2 linked regions of the Neodiprion lecontei genome follow. Each later gene encodes a partner of the first gene's protein in a complex. Links are inferred from orthologs where the notes say so. Each region holds a gene or a part of one and is shown on either strand. Other genes may lie near its edges.

The links.
Region 2: zinc finger CCCH domain-containing protein 13 (region 1) and N6-adenosine-methyltransferase subunit METTL3 share a complex: the UniProt entries of both Drosophila melanogaster proteins name them as parts of the WMM complex. The link is inferred for Neodiprion lecontei from reciprocal best matches to the Drosophila melanogaster genes Flacc and Mettl3.

What each region holds. Positions count from the first base shown.
Region 1 is NC_060261.1:34,040,701-34,050,248, forward strand, and holds zinc finger CCCH domain-containing protein 13, read left to right. Parts: upstream 1-2,767; 5' UTR 2,768-3,134; coding exon 3,135-3,319; intron 3,320-3,536; coding exon 3,537-3,612; intron 3,613-3,825; coding exon 3,826-4,229; intron 4,230-4,296; coding exon 4,297-5,997; intron 5,998-6,338; coding exon 6,339-6,662; intron 6,663-6,744; coding exon 6,745-7,529; intron 7,530-7,605; coding exon 7,606-7,720; intron 7,721-7,916; coding exon 7,917-8,016; 3' UTR 8,017-8,372; coding exon of another isoform or gene 8,373-8,489; 3' UTR 8,490-8,556; coding exon of another isoform or gene 8,557-8,648; 3' UTR 8,649-8,734; coding exon of another isoform or gene 8,735-8,830; 3' UTR 8,831-8,862; downstream 8,863-9,548. Other genes in the region: protein Mo25, read right to left, coding at 1-17, 88-252, 736-904, 996-1,114, 1,205-1,372, 1,446-1,547; SET domain-containing protein SmydA-8-like, read right to left, coding at 8,373-8,489, 8,557-8,648, 8,735-8,830, 8,893-9,079, 9,144-9,278, 9,358-9,548. UniProt on the Drosophila melanogaster protein: Associated component of the WMM complex, a complex that mediates N6-methyladenosine (m6A) methylation of mRNAs, a modification that plays a role in the efficiency of mRNA splicing and is required for sex determination.
Region 2 is NC_060264.1:30,609,171-30,617,115, reverse strand, and holds N6-adenosine-methyltransferase subunit METTL3, read left to right. Parts: upstream 1-2,959; 5' UTR 2,960-3,155; exon of another isoform or gene 3,156-3,308; 5' UTR 3,309-3,382; coding exon 3,383-3,524; intron 3,525-3,598; coding exon 3,599-3,791; intron 3,792-3,873; coding exon 3,874-4,404; intron 4,405-4,843; coding exon 4,844-5,636; 3' UTR 5,637-6,578; downstream 6,579-7,945. Other genes in the region: prolyl 3-hydroxylase 1, read left to right, coding at 300-640, 1,061-1,316, 1,475-1,799, 1,921-2,046, 2,137-2,273, 2,374-2,460; neuroepithelial cell-transforming gene 1 protein, read right to left, coding at 7,509-7,945. UniProt on the Drosophila melanogaster protein: Catalytic component of the WMM complex, a complex that mediates N6-methyladenosine (m6A) methylation of mRNAs, a modification that plays a role in the efficiency of mRNA splicing and is required for sex determination.

The DNA of each region.
Region 1 (9,548 bases):
ATGTACCGAGTCATGACCTGTAACATATAAAATTATGTAGCAACAGATGTTATTTCACCATTTGATTGCTTAATCAAAACAACTTGCCGTGAAATTATGTCTATCCAGAAGGAGTTCTCCCAGTAATTTTAAACTCTGTCGACGTGTTACGTAGTTCTCAGAATTTAATAACCTTTGATAATGTGAGAAGACTTTGTCATAATTCACTTCTAAAAATTCAGCGCTAAGTATTTTATGTCTTGTTAACAATTCCTGAAACAATGAAACTCCTCAGAAAACTTTTTTTCTTTAACAATAATAAGATGTACATAGTAGAAACATATTGATTTAAATTAAATGCTCCAACTTTCTCAAGTTGAAAAAAAACCAGCACAAAATTTAGCTTTTTCTAACCCTTGGTGATGAAGTTTGAAAAATACAGTAGTTTATAGTAAAAAAATGAAATAATCATGTCACTGGGGTTTCTGTTATCATTCTTAATGGCAATCTATACTTTTTTCTAGCGTACCATATGGCATGTTTTTTACGTACATGAAAAGTTATTACATACCAAAACTCTGTAGCAATTGACAGTGAATGATTGGGTATTTCACAAAGAATTTATGAACATAATTTTCAAAGTTTCCCAGAGTGACAAAATTCTCTGACTATTGATGGTTTTTCCGATGTGTTGCCAAGATACTGTACCAACACATTAGTTTAAAAAATTACATATATATGTGTAACGACAACTACCTTAAATGTAGAAAAGGCATCTGATGCAATATCGAATGTCGAAACTTCGACATATCGAAAGAAATTATAAAAATCATCAGAATAAATCATTATTTTGGCCAATGCCTCATATCGAGCGCATTCCCTCAGCATCGTTCCACAATTTAATGCAATATCTTGATGCTCGTAGCTGAAAGTATAGGAATTCTCTGGTTAAGTTGATTGAATTTTGTTTGAAATTAAAAAACAAAACTGAGTATGATTTATATCTCACAACTTACCCAGACATAAGAGTGAATAATATTTCTGGCTTCGTACAAATATATTCAACTGTTGGCGATCGTGTGCCAATTTGCCTCCGTAAGATATTGTTGAATACCTGAGCCACATCTTTCTTCCCCTGAAGGAATCATACAAAATTATAACAACCTTTTCATATGCACTATTTTGTACTTTATCTCGTTGTGAAAGCAGAGGTTGATGAAGTCACCTCAAAATCAATCCGACTAAGATTCTGGACCAAGAGCAATAGCAGATTGCTGTTGTACAACTCCTGAGCTAGCTGAGCTACGACAATATCAGCTTGAGGCTCTGCTTCGGCGGTCCCATAAAGCATGTTTTTAATATGCACTAAATTTTTGCTGACATCCTCTTGAGCCTGGAAAGATGATTCATGTTTAAATACATAATAGGAATTCTTTTTGGCAGGAAACTGGCTACATGCTGCATACCTTCTCTACTTTCTTATCACCACGTTCCAGGGCATTAACGGCCTCTTTTAGAGCCTTTACAACCTCCGCCGGACTCTTTTGAGATTTTCCGAACAGAGGCATGATTTCTTAGAAGATGAAAACCTTGTGGAAAAATTCAAATTTCATACATTTAATTCATTGCACTGGTGAGCAAGGTATAAGTTGGAGTTTGAAGATGAGTAAAAAATATTAATTCAAGAACCAAAAAAGCAAGCCTGTGATTTAATGAAACATTGATTTGCTTAAACTAATTGTGACTAAGTATCCCTAGACTCCATAATTTTTCAGTATAGATTCAGAGATTGTAATGAATCGATTCATATAATGTTAGAGCTTGATAAAAATAGGAATGAATAGGAAAATTTAGATTGAAAAGCATGGGGCTAGCTTCAAAGTTTCAGAGTTGAAAAAAATTCGGAAAAAATCTAAACAGTGTTGAGTTGTACATTAAGATAACCTATCGCATAGAAATATAGTTATGTAACTTTGTATTTAAATTATTCAATAAGCTTACCATTCAATAAGTAGTTGAATCAATGTACGCAGTTGTTTCTTAGCACTTATAGCACAGATTTCCCTTTTAGCATTTCATTTATACGTAGAACGATACTGACGTATTTTGCGGTTATAAATAAGTTATTCGAAACCTGTCGAAAATTATATGTTTAAGAAACCTGACGTAGAACGACGTTCTCTATCAATTATTCAATGTGTTTTCAACTTTCCACAGTCTTTTTAATAAGTATTAATCTTTCTTAATCTTTTAATATATCGCATAACTCAAGATTGCCATTTATTACAAGCTCGACACTGACGACTGACATTGGGGGCTGTTAGGATTCACTATTGGTCATCCTTCTTATTACTGCTTGTTACTGACCGCTCCTATGTCCAATCAACTCGTAGATGTTATTTACGCTCCTTCAAACACGAATAATAGAAAATAGTAGAGATGGTAGAAATACTATAACTTCATGATGACTCTAGTGTGACGTTGTAGTCTGACGGTCGATCACGTAACTTTAATTTGGCGTGGCTTCTCTGTGAGCGTGTTAATACAGTAACGATCACACTGATATAAACACTTGAAACTCCATGGCGTTGGCTTAAGTTGACTGAAGACTGTTAAAGACGGTATACCCTAATGTGGTCTTATGTGCTTATCGGATTGCGTGTTAAACGGTTAGTGCCGATAAAGAAGCTACCGGATAACTATCCTGAACACGGCTTCTTATGGCCCAAGGCCCATTTACGCGCCGGTGTTGGTTACAAGAATTTGTCGAGGGGTTATCACTAATCACTAATCAGTAGGGGTAATCGTCTTTAAGCGTTCGGGAGTCTCTTTTCTTGCCAGGCTACCGGGTTTTTTCTTAATCTCCCGTTGAGGAAACTTCTGCATTCGGGGATGTGACATCACAGACATAACCTTTTCCAACTACCGAGAGATGGCCTCACTGCCATTATAAATGAAATAATTAATCCACGAGCTTAACACTCTTCATGGGGCTCGACCCTGCGATTTTAGATTAACTAATTTTGTATGGTGATTGTACCGGATCGTAGGTATCCATTGAGTTTGTTTTTGTGATAGAAGATAGCAAAGTGGGATTTTGCATACCGCAGTTATGTGCTTCCAGTATCAATTTAAAATCGTTTTATGGTGATAATATGTCAAAACCAAACATAAGAAAAATAACAGTTGACCCTTCGAAATGTAACACAGACTCTCGACGACCTAGCGTATTTGAGAGGTTGGGTACCAAACCACCAGCAACTTCCACCGGCCAAAACAATTCCGATTACTGTAGAAATTGGGCTCTGAATGGCAGTTGTTCGTACGGCAAAAGTTGCAAGTATGTTGATTATTTGCAACATGACAATTAGTGACCATATACAGCACCATAAATAATTGTCCTGAAATTCGATCTACCACTCTTTATCAGTAACACGTCGTTACAATTGTCAATATTTTTGTCAAATGTCATGAAACTTATTCATGATCTTCCAGTTAAAAATCAATTTCAAAGTCTTCTATGAAACAATTGGCACATTAACATTTATTTGTACTAGGTACGCAATCACGCACACACTGATCAGCCCATCAAAACGTGTGAAGAAAGATAATGCTCTTACTAGTGCAACTGTGGTAAGTGCCTTTGATTCAAAGTTGTCTTCTATATTTGCAAGTATTTCTAATTGAGAGATTTATCAAATTGAAATTCCTCCATCAGTTTCGATGATTATACTAACAAGTTTTTTTTCTATCCTTCAAGTGGTTTTGGAATTAATCCCAAGTATTTTTAAATATAATTAATAAATTGCGTTATGACGAATTACCTACCGTTGACTTTTACAATAGCCTAGCGAAGATCCATTCAAGCGAGTCACATCAAAAATTGTAAAAAAGACGTCTCATAGTCCTGATCTTAATTTGGAAGAGTGGAACCAGACAGATCTGGAATACGAAGACGAAAAAGCTTTAGAAAGAAGACTTCAGCTCTTACAAAGAGAATTAGAATTACAAATGAAGAAAGACAAGGAAATTCATGGCAAGGAAAAGACAACAAAACACAAAAAAAAAGCTATGAGTTCATCATCTAGTTCACACAGCTCTAGCACATCCAGCAGCAGCAGTAGCTCTAGTAGTGATGATTCCTCATCTAGCTCCACTTCGGATTCTCGCAAGAAAGTCAAGAAGGTCAAGTCTAAACGACATCACAGTGCATCTTCAGATTATGATGAAGATAAGGAACGAAAAAAGAAGTAAGTACAACATCTGGCATTTTAACTTGAGCTATATAATGTTTGTTATTTTTAATTTTTTCAACAGGCTTAAGCTTAAAAGACTGGGAACGAAGAATGAAAAACTTATCGTAAAAAAGAAACGCAAGATTGAAGTGTTGAGCAAAAAAGAACCAGTTGTAAAAGCAGCTAAGAAAGTTGCTATTTCTTCATCCAGAAAGCATTCTTCTACCAAGGTTAAATCACCAACCATGTCAGCACATGCTTCCTCCAGTAAAGTAAAGGAGCGAAACCGGAGTGAATCCCCAAAACCAAGGAGTAGGGAAGTGGAAAAAGATAAGCATCATAAAAAAATTAGAGAAGATGAGCCTTCATTGAAAGATATAGTGAAGAATAAGGCTACTGATAAATCAAAAGAGTCTGATAAAAATAAAAGTCGCATTGTGGAAGATCGTGTAAAAACTGATGAGAAATCAAAACAGAGAGTAAAAGATAAAGAAAGACGTTCTAGAACCCCACCTATTGAGAAATCTAAATACCAGTATCCTAAAGATTTTTCTAATACTAAATCGAGGCGCAGTCGAACTCCAGAGAAACCATTGAGGTCTAAACGAGAGGTAACTCCACTTCGTCACCAAGAGAGTAAAACATCTTCTGGAAGATCCAGAGAGATAGATAAAAAAGAACGTGACTCATACAAAGGAGATCGAAATAAAGACAAAGACGATATTCGTAAAAATGATCCATCCAAATCAAAGCCTTCGTCTAGCCAAGAAGACTCCCATCGTAAGAATGCGGTTCGAGACATCGAGGAGAAAAATTATGTCAGTGAACGCAATCGGCAGCGTAGCAAGGAACGTAGAGATAAGGAGCACAACTTAAGGGATGATAGAAGTCATTCAAGATTAGGCAGAGATCAGCGTGATTCTCAGCGAGAAAAAGAACGAGAAGAAGTACAGGAAAGGTGTCGAGATAGACAAAGAGAACGAGATCGTGAAAAAGATGCAGTTAAAGTTCGAGAAAGAGATATACCACCACTCATGGCAACAACTGCTATTAATCCTATGGATAAGAATGGTCGGTATGGTCGAGATAAGGATAGATTCAAAGATGGAGGGCTTGACAAAAGTGGACAGAGGGATAGACGGAGTGAGAGAGACCGAGAAAGGTCAGAAAAACCCTTAGATCGAGACAGAGCTTTACAACGATTTGATGCTCGCTATGACAGATCATTGGATAAAGAAATGCTGCCTCACAAAGGTGTGGAGAGAGATAGACAAGAGCGTTTTCCAAGAGAAAGATCTCTTGATCGAGTAGTTGACAAAAACATAGCTACAGGAGCTCGTGACCATGTTATGGAACGAGAAAATCTTTATGATCGGGACAGGCATAGAAGATTCAATCCTAGGTTTGACAGAGGGCATCCAGCCGATCATGAGCGCAAGGAGCCACCTCATATTCCATCAAAAATAGACAGACTACCGGAACGAAGAGATGGGTCCAGACGCAGCCTAGAAATAGAGAGAAACTACGATAGGGGCTATGCTCGATTGCCACCTGAGCATTGGGAAGAGCCTGAGGAACCTCCAAGAGTTGATTATCGAGATCACCACCCTCATGAAGATGAAAGACGTAAACCAATGGAACCAAGAAGGTACAACAGCCCTTTCGAAGAAAGACGAGGTAGAGATGAACGTCCATCACGCTATGCTATGCAGAGTGAAAGGCCTTTTGAGGATCCACATCTGCCCATATTTTCGGGTGAAAAAATGAGGTCTAGTGTAAACAGGTATAGACCATATACATATAAGATGAACTGTGCATGCAAACCTGAAGCCTGTGCAGCAAATATCAAAAAGCAGCAGTCTTTATATAAAAATGTGCTTAGTTAACCACACCTCTGGATAGTCATAATCACATTTTATCTTTCTCATACAGTAGCAGACACATTACTTCTATTGCTTGGATAGAAAGTGCGCAGTCCATTCTACATTTTAATGGTGTAGACTGATATTAGTTTACATAAAAATTGATTGTATCAGAACTGTCTGGTAGTGTACAGAACTTCATTTGAACTTTACAAATCTTCCAATAATTTTTTTAATCGTCATTTTTTTTTTTTTATAACAGAGACGAAAGTAGTAATGACAATTGGGATGTCCATCATGAGATGGAGCATGGTAGTCGAGACCGGAATTACCAAACTTCTGACTGGGAGGAACGTGAATGGAGAGCGGCTCGACCTCCGATGTGGGATAGAGAAAGTCCTCCACATTCAGAGGTTCATGAAGAAGAATGGGCTCCACGCTATGACAGCCCTATGCCTGATTGGAAGTTGAATGAAGGCCGAAAATGGGAAAGTTTGCCCCACAATCCACCCCACAATCCACCTCACAACCGAGGACACTACAGAAATGACAGAATCAAAGAAATAGACTTAGGAGAACTACATAGGTATTGATAATAATAATTAATATTTCGAAAAATTTAGAAGCATAATAGTACCATATTTTATATCAAAAGTTTGTGTTTCAAGCAAACGACGTCCACCCTATAGCACTCCGGAATTGAGAGATGAATGCTCTGCTCATGGGTCAAAACAAGGATCTTTACATGGCAGCATGAAGGAAGAACCGATAAATAAAAAATTGATGGAATTAGCGGAGGGTAGGGTCAGGAGGAGCAGAGAGAAATCTGTTGAAAATTTTCAGAAAAGAATTCCACAACGCGAAAAATCGGAAGTTAAAGAATCCCCTTTGGCTGCAGAACCTAAACGTCCATGCTTGGATGAATCTCTCCAAACTTTGCATACGGAGAGTGATTTGAGTGATATCAGCGATGATCCTGATGATATTTTGAATATGGAAGAAGAAGAAAGTGAGACACCAAAATTGCCCTTACCTAAAAAAGGTACAGAGATTAATGAACGAGACGTACTTGTACAAACTCCAGAAGCCTCACAGTTATCACCAAAAGAAATTGTAGAAGAGACTATATTTACCAAGGAAAAAGATACAAACGAACAAATGGAATTCCGAAATATCGAAGAAGAAAATATTGAGAATATGGACTTTGAAGAAATATCCGATGGAGAACTTGAGGAGGATATTAAGACAAGCGGCAAGGGCTTGGGAGATGCTTTGGGTGTAGATTGGGAAAGTTTAGTCAAAGAATCTCAGCCTCGTCGAGTTCTTACCATGAATCAAAATACTGCTCAAAGTCGCTGGCAATGTAAAGCTATATTCCAGCGCATTGGTATCTCTATGAAATATGCAGGGGCGGAAATGGTAGAATCCATAACAAAGAAGTACTGCATAGATGGTAAATCTATATTTTACATATTACTAGTGTTTACTATAATAGCTTCAATTACTTCTTAATTCCACGCTACTTTCAGATGCTGATAAATTTCTTCTGAATGACGTCGCCCTTCTACACACTGCAATCATGAGGCAGCAATTTATGACTCGGACATCAAGAACTTCATTAATCAGCGAAAATTTACTATGCAGGTAAATTGAGTACAAAAGAAAATAAAGATGCATATTTAGAGAACCGTTGGAAAAGATTACCCAGATTGGTGAAATTTTCGATTACATTTACATAATAGACTTGTCCATAATTAAGATGAAATAATATGATGTGTCATTAATTGATATTTGCCACGCAATTGTAATGAAAATTAATTTTGGTTATTTCAAATTACAGAAATTATGCTGAGGCAAATGAGGACGATGATGAAGAAACTCTGCAACCTTGCACGAGCTTATGTGAAGAAGCAAAGATATTATTACAAAAAGTTACATAGACATTTCTCATATGCATTGCAATTGTTAATATTTTTATCTTTGTATCATTGCTAAGCATAGTTACTTAGTACTTAGAATATATTAGGGAAAATTGTACGTATTCGTGGTCTTAATATATATAATTCTTTTGTGCGCCTTTTTGTATCGTGTAACTTATGAACGACTCGACCGATTGAGATCATATTCACACAAGACATTTGTATTGTCGAGACGATGGTTCATAGCTATGCAAAGATTGATTTTTTTCAACCGCGGGTCAGATTAGCTTCGGTTCTAGAATAGGTCATTAAATTTAAATGCGGGCGAAGCATGTGAATGTGAATTTAATATTCACAACTTCATAATTAATTTATATTTATTTTTTTGTCATACCAGAAACAAGAGACAACAAATCTTTGGGAGCAGTTAAGTCATTTTGTAATATCAATATCGCAGTCTCAAGCAGGTTCTTACTTTCTTCATTCACCTGAAACTACGTCACGTAAAAGAGTCAATATTCATGATAATTATTTGTTCACAGAAGTCTAAGAATTTTGTACCTGTGACTCAGACTTCTCAATATTAGTTTCTTCATTAAATTGGCGTTTGTTCAGCTCCATCAATGTACTATACAACTCATAAGAGATCAAGCCTAAAATGAGCAGTTATTGAATATTAATGTGGCCACAAAAAAAGATATGGAGAGACGACATTGCAAATATATGTTTCTTAAACTACCTTTCATCTTACATTCGCCACATTTTAAAGTCTCAATCAAGCGTAATAAATCCCTGCAGTATTTTTCCTTGATGCTGAGCTCATCCTTTGTCAAATCTGTAAATCAATTCGACAGAGATACACAACAACCTTCAAGTTTGCACAGTAATTGTATTTACCTTCCCACAAAAACTTCTCGGTTCTTCCAAGACAAGATATTATTCTGAGTTTCATATCAACTGCAACGTAATTTGTTGCAGGTACCAAGACCGACAGTTCACTTTTCATGAATCGCAACATCTGCTTAGGACTTTTGTATATCATCTCTTCAACTATACTTCCCAAAGCTGATCGAATTGAAATAATCTAAAAGAAAAAATCAAACGAAGTTTATAAGTACATACTTGTCTGTTTTACGTATGTAACATACTTGTCTGTTTTTCAGGCGTAATCCGCATTCTCTGCACTCCCACACTGTTGAAGTATCTAAAGGTTCAACAGCGACTAAAATTCCTGAACACTCCTTACGAGCACAACGCAATGCTCCAAGCAAAGATCCATTTTCCTAAGAAGTTATAGAAGATATTGTAATTTTATATAAGTATTTAAAATTATTTAGAGGCACATAGTCAAAATTTAAGTACTAGCGGATCAGTGCATCTACTGCATGTGCAGAAGAAATGTTTAGTGGCAGCTAAATGTCGTCTTCTTAACGTTGTATCCCAAAACAAATCTGTGTAAGTCATAGTTATCTCCTCGTTTTTCTTAATGGGAATAGCAGCTGTTACATATAATCTCTGTTGAGAATCGTAATAATGACGAGTATTGGGTGTAC
Region 2 (7,945 bases), on another chromosome or scaffold:
CGGCTTTCAGTGATCATATTGAAGTTAGTAACGTTATCGTAACGATTCATGCTGAGGAAAAACCGTTATTAAGCAAGTTTGGAATTGTTTGAAATTTAGTAAACTGTAACAAAACAAAACACACTCATAATTCAAAATCTTAGTGTAGTGATTGCCCCCAATGTTTCGATACCATAACGTCACTAACTTCAATCTCGTTTTCAGTGTGGGTTCTTTATCGCAATCAGGGTTCAAAGATCAAATAGTGCCGAGATCATTCTCAGTTTTTAGTCGATCTTGACGAGCTACATATTCTCGTTATGCGGGCTTTTGATCAATACGTTGTTTTCGCCCTGATCACGATTTTCTTCACCGTTGCAATCGCCACGTCTGCAGCATCAGACGAGCTGAGCAATGACGTAGACGGTCAGGAAACCGTTTCCGTGGTTCAGGATGAGATTCTCCAGGATCTTCCCTCCGAAAAGATCGCTACAGAATCGGCGCATGTTGCCGGTAAGCAGGACACTGACAGACCGGTAAATGGGAGTAAAACCGAGGAGGATCCAAATAAGCTTGATAATCTTTTCGAAACGGGTGTCGAGTCGTATCTGAACGATGACTGGCAAGGGTGCATCGACGACTTCCACAAAGCCCTTAACAGGTTCAACACAGTTTTATCTTGTCTACACAATATAACATAAAACCCAACGTCTCTTTGTCTGGCTGCAAGTATGTTCCCTTATAATTCGAGAACTACCGAACCGTTTTTGATCATTTTTATTTCTGTGGATAGCTACAACGTCTGGTCGGGTTTTAAGATACAACGATGTTTGTAAGCTAAGTTGGAACAGGATCGCACACTTATGCGAACGCTGACTAAACTTTGACAGATAGACGAAAGTTGGGTTCAAGAATTTAAAAGGTCTCGATGAGCTCTACTAAAAAGTTCGCGTTAGCGGTAGCATTTTCCATAATAAGTATTTGTAAATATTCGTGTACGGATCTGCAATGGGCTTTTAGTTAATTATAAGTTAGTAGGTAATTATCGATGTTTATTAATGCAATACATGGTGCGCCGCAGCTACAAAATGCACAAAAAGACGGTTGCTGATTGCCGAAGACAGTGCCGAGCGGAAGTTAACGATGTTGAACCAATATTTCCGTACGACATAGAAGATATGCACTTCTTCGAAAGAAAAGTCAGGGAAACGTTGTGTTTGATGAAATGCAAGAAGATCGTGAGGAATAAAGACAATGATAGACAGTTGCCCGTTCATGTGGAGAGGAAGTACATTGAACGTAAGGCCTACGAGTTTCTGCACATTTGCTATTACAAGGTATGTACAATTTACTGCTGATGAAGTAAAAACGGATTTCAAATATGAGAATTGTTGGAAAAAAAACTTTGGTGCCGAAACGAAATCCCACCATGTCATTTCATTATATCTCGTGTCGCATCACAGATAATATGTTTGTTTTTTTACGCGCGTTATAGACGAAGCGGTACCAGGATGCGGCGAATGCCATTTTCACGTTTTTGACCATTCACCCGACGGACAATCAAACCTTGAGGAACATGCAGTTCTACATAGATCTTCCCGAAGTCGTTCAAGAGGATATAGTAGATTTGGAAAGTGACCCATTCCAAGCAATGTACAAAGATGGAGTTATAGCGTATTACGAAGAAAATTATCCGGAGGTTATTGAGCAGCTTGAAAATTCTCTTAAGGCTTACATGAAAGCTGAAGAGGATTGCAGATTGTATTGCGAAGGTCCATTCGACCAGGGATGGCTTCCAGACTTTACCATGTCCATTGCGAGTGAGTTAATCCGAATTTTCATTCCTAATACGGATTGGCAATTCGCGAATTACATTTGAAACTTTGGAAATTCTTGTCTTATAGAATTTAAACGTTATGTAAACCCAATTTTATTTTCTAGATCACTTTGCTTTCGGACTAAAATGCAAGCGCAGCTGTTCCTACGCATTAAATAAACTCAACGGGGAACAGCGCCACGACTTGCTCATATCTCACTATCATTATTTGCAGTACGCATATTTCAAAAGTAAGATCTAGGAAATAGTTTCCCTTATAGACTTGTGTTTCCATTGTGGATTGCTCATAGTTTAAATTGCTTGTTTAAAAACCGTTTTAGTTGGTAAATTTAAAGAAGCGTGTGCCGCGGTTGAAAGCTTTTTGCTTTTCATACCGACCGATGAGACCGTTTTGAGAAACAAGAGATATTTTATGGAACTACCGGAAGTCAAAGAAGAATACTTCAAGCCACGCGAGGTAATTAATTATCATTATTAGAGTCAGGAACGCACGGTCTTTGAGAATAACTAAGGATCAAATAAATTGATTTGCGAACTTTTATTTCTTTTTTTCGCAGGAAGCCGAGTCGTACTTCAAGAGGCAGGAATACGAACTGCGCATTCTGCTCTACATACAAGAACAATTTAATTCTGCAAAAAATTGAACTGAACAAAACGCACGTCCAAGAACAATTTAATTCTGCAAAAAACTGAACCGAACAAAATGCAGTTTACTTTTTTACAATTAATTTTATGCATACATTCGTTTACATGCATTAATAAATATACGTAAATAATTAAGCTTCTTCAAGCTCAGAGCGCAAATCACCTGTCTTTTAATTGTAGAATTGAAACTGATTACATGATTATTAGGAATTTCGGATTGAATCAAATAGTGGAAATCACAAACCCGAGAAAAACTATAAGTAATTAATTTTACTTTGAAACAAACTATTTCTTCTGATTCGGAATTTTATAATTTTCGAATTAAACCGTTTTTCACTTACACGCAAATCGATCTATTTTATTTTAATTTTACAAATCCTGATCAGATTTTGCCGAATCCGTCGCACATTTGAAAATCCAAGTAATCCCATAAAATTGTCGAATTTTCTTTAACCACGAATAAATTTTTTACTTTCAAAAGTTTTCTATCCACGGATATCGATCAGACATTTTGCATCCCAAGTGAAGCTGGCAACGCCGAGTTCACCCGCTTGAATATTTATACTCCCGGGAAAAAATTCACAAGCAATTCAGTTGATAATAAGATTTATTCGAGAAATATTACAAAATACATTTACGGCGATACCAAACTTTTGATACACTGCGAAAGTTGATTCCTAGTTTCCTACAATGCGTAATAGATAGCCAATTACAACTTCGCAAATAAACATAACCTATACCTAACCTAAAAATACCGCATCCGATTTTCTCGTTCCTACATTTTCGTATATTTATGAGCCAGTAAAAGTTTCGGTAATATTTTTTTTTTTTACTTTATTTTTCCTAGGAAATCGAGGCTTAGTTGTTGTTGTTCGAAATCATAACCTTCGTATGTGATAAGGAAAGAAAAAGAGATGAAAGATGTCTGATGCATTTGAGGAAATTCAGGCGATAAAGATAAAGAGGAACAGTCTAAGAGAAAAATTGCAAAAACGTAAACGAGAGAGACACGAATTATTCACTCTCACTTCGACCCCACCAGCTACAGAATCATCTGTGATTGGTAGCTGTTTAATTTGTTGTTTCCATTACTTTCAGTCTCGTATTTCTGTTTCAAGCCTCTAATTTCAATTTCAGACACGACTAATAACAAATCTGAACCGGTTGAATACGAACAAGATGTCTTGCGAATTTTGCATCAGTGTATCTCCAGCTTACCAATCACATCGACTGATCTCACAGATCAACTCAGAAAAGCTCTCAGCATTGACATATCATTTTCAGATATCAACAAGCTCTTGGAAAAATTATCTGCACAAGACATTATCAGGTATTTACTTAATGAGAAAAGTTTTTTATGCGAATAAACAAAGCACGTAATCTCGCAATATTTTAAGACATTTCATCCGCAGGATCAAGGAAATTACAGAGAACGATGTCGTCGGATATACAATTCTGTCTATTGCGGAATCGAATTCCCAGGCAGAGTTGTTACATACTGAAAACATCGTTGAAGAGGAAAAACTGGGGGTTTCACTGCCTGCCGCAATCGAGGAGGAAAGTCCACCCGAAAAACAGACAAAGCTCGATAAGAAGAATACTGAGGACATCATGTCACTGATATCTATGCCTACAATAAGAGAAAAGGAGAGTAAAAAAGTCGGGGAACAGATACTGGACCTTTTGTCAAAACAAACATCGAAGGAGAAGTCATTGGCCGAACGTTTTAGGTCTCAGGGTGGTGCCCAAGTTATGGAATTTTGTCCACATGGTACTCGTACAGATTGCTCCAAGCTCAATGGCAACAGTCAGCCAGGGTCTGGGCAAGCGTTCAATGAGAAGTGCAAGAAATTGCATTTCAAGAAAATCCTTCAAAGTCATACTGATGAAAGCTTGGGAGACTGTAGCTTTTTGAATACTTGCTTCCACATGGACACTTGCAAGTAATAATTGACTTTATTTCTTTTCCCCGTTTTATAGATTCATCAATGGTGATAGATTCCTGTGAAATTCGTTGATAAGTTTAGATAAGTTCAGCTCTATTTGTTTTCATTTTTTTTTTGTTTTCTCTTGTGCATGTTTCAGGTTTACCAAACTCGGAAAACTAATGATCGAGTCGATAAATTTAATGATTTAGAAACCGAATTGAAGTTGGGTAAAATCAGTAGAGATTAGTTCACTGGATTTCATTGCGTATCACAAAGTACTTCTAAACTAAATTACTATCTTCAAAGTTGCTCACAAAACACTTAAATATTGGTCATCACGTACCTTTGAAAATATTCTTTAAGTACAAAATAATGGGCTTTCGAAATTTCGAAATAATTCTAACAATATTCCAGAATACAGAAACCAAAACTTTTTAAATCATCTGTTTTCAAGGTACGTTCACTATGAAGTTGACGGTCCCACTGCGCAACCTAAAGATCAGGGCGAAGCAGACACAACGACTTGTGGAAATACTTCCAGAACAACTGCTCTAGATCCAAAACCAGTGAGCAATAATAATGGCTCAACGGGAGCATCGGACCTGACACTGTATCCTCCTCAGTGGATCCAGTGCGACCTGAGATATCTGGATATGACAGTGCTGGGAAAGTTCGCAGTCATAATGGCGGACCCTCCTTGGGATATCCATATGGAGCTTCCCTACGGGACAATGTCGGATGACGAAATGCGGCAACTCGGAATCCCTACCCTGCAAGATGAGGGTCTCCTATTTCTTTGGGTGACCGGACGAGCCATGGAATTAGGCAGAGAATGCCTCCAGTTATGGGGCTACGACAGAGTGGACGAGATTATTTGGGTGAAGACTAATCAACTTCAGCGCATTATAAGAACTGGGAGAACCGGTCACTGGCTCAATCATGGGAAAGAGCACTGTCTGGTTGGTATGAAGGGATTTCCCAGGGTAAACAGAGGTCTGGACAGTGATGTCATCGTGGCCGAAGTGAGGGCGACGAGTCATAAACCCGACGAAATTTATGGGATTATAGAAAGAATGAGCCCGGGAACCAGAAAGATCGAGTTATTCGGAAGACCGCACAACGTTCAACCGAACTGGATTACTCTGGGAAATCAGGTCGACGGTGTGCGATTAATTGACCCGCAACTGATTAAAGCTTTTAAGAAACGCTATCCCGATGGAAATTCGATGAAGCCGAGTAAATCTTAGCGATATTTAATATTCTGTATATTTAGAACAAAATTTTCAACATCGCAACCTTGAGAATCTTGACAGCGGACGGATTATTAACAATAAGATAGGAATTACAACTTGACCAAATATTTTGTGATTTTTAAGTTTCAAAATGGTGATTTCAAAAATTCAGACGTGCTGGAATTGAGCAAACAGAAAAAATTTTTAATAAAAAAAATACTAAAAATATTCATTTGTTCTATTTTTTAATCAATGCCACTACAACGATACAGTAGGTACGATATTTGTACTTGCTTTTTTGTGTCACTTTTTCTTTAAATATATAAATCATTATTATAATAGTTGTTCCCAAATTAGCAATAGCAATATCTATTTACAACAAAGTTGATAAATTACTGATCTGAAACAATATTGGAAAAGAGACAGAGTGTCTAAATACCAAGGATATGCCACAGCTGCAGATTATCTCTGAAAGTTCCAATGGATAGAAAAGAACAAGAAACATTTACAGCTTTATTCTATAATTGCAGTTTTGAAAATGCAGAATTATAGAATAAGCCACGTGATCTCCCTTTCTGATTGATGTGATTCTTAAAGTAAATATTTAAATAAATTGACAGATTTTTCACACAAACGAATGAAAGGTTCAAATTTAATTTTCACTAAATGAAAAGTAGCTTTCTTTGTTTTTTATTCTTGGAGAAGATTCCGAAGTAATTCAGCGAATTCGGATCATCAGCATTAAAACACCCTGCAAACTTTGCTGGTGTTGAGTAAAACGTGCGTCTTATCGTCGCCTAAAAGATCTCTCGTCGAATTTAAAAATAATTATTAACTAAAGAGAAAGTATAAGAAAATAAAACCTACGCTTCACGAGTCGTAACCTAATATCATAAAACACCGCGTTTGTCCGAAGTTCTCTATGTATAAATGCAGGAATATATATATTTACATTAGTTGGATCATAAAAAAGTATGACTGATCCAATTATATCAAAAATGAATGCGCATTATTTATCACAAAATGAATTAATTTGCATTGTCTTTCGATTATTTGTATTGTCTATGCAATATATGAGTTCAAAAAAAGTTACGCGGCATAGAGAACACAAAATTGATAGTACACCGTGAATTCTGTTAGCAGTTTCTTGAAGCTGGCCAGGATGTGATTGAAAATTACAAATTTGCTATGACCAGATGTCGCATAAGATAAAAAGTATAAAAATGAATGGATAAAAACTCAAAAAGTCAAAATATTTGAACCTAATATTAAAACTCTGAAATCCGGATAAAAATAATGGATGGCCATAACGTTAAAAAATATGAGAGAAAAATCAAAAAAAAAATCGTTGTATTATAAAATAGATACTTGTCAGAAAATGAAAAATTTAAATTTTTTTGCAATTTCTCTCAAGCATCGATCACACTTAGTCCTGGTTTACCAATTTATGGCTTCGAATTAATTACTAATCGCAATTTATCAAACCGAGCGATTCGCGTAGTTGTTACATCCGAATACGCAATATATATTTAAAAGGGATGAATTTTGAAAAATATATTCAATTCAGCGCTAGTTATTATCCGTGGTTATTAAATATCACACATTTGGACTCCATTCGGATAACCGCATTTGTTTTATCGTCTCAATCGATTGAAATTTCCTTACGTAATCATTTTTTCATAGGTATTAACGCCGACAACGATAGCACTGTGAATGGATTTAATTTGTTTTTTTTTAGTTGCCGGAAAATGAAACACCAGATCATCCGTGATACGTTAATTACAAAAATGACTGTGAAACCATGCGACTAAAAAAATATGTATAATTTCTTAACGCAATGGATGTATATGAATATAGTAGTTATATATGAATAAATCATAGTACTCTTCACACTAGGCTGATGCTGTTTCTTTTATCCCTGAGAAGGCTTTTTCTAAGAGAAATCGGAAAATGACTGCTGCACAAATCTCCGACAGACTTCAGTTTCCTTGTACTTTTCGTTATCGGGGACTTTTCGCTGATTTCACTCATTTTATCCACGTCCTCATTCTCATTCTCATTTTCATTTCGATTCTCTTTTTCTTTCCTTTTTTTGTTCTTTTCCTCAGTTACAATAATATTTCCATCGTGATTTCTTTTTCCATTTGTAGAAATAGTATTTAGCCTACGAAAAGACTCAATCCAATGCCGTTTTGCATGCTCATCGTCAGCATTAAGCGTGTGTTCTGCAACCTTGAATGAGGTAGTATGAATTTTTTCACCCGCCTCGATTTCAAACTGTACCCTTAACTGATCTCGTAATACGACAGGGAAACATGGGTTAC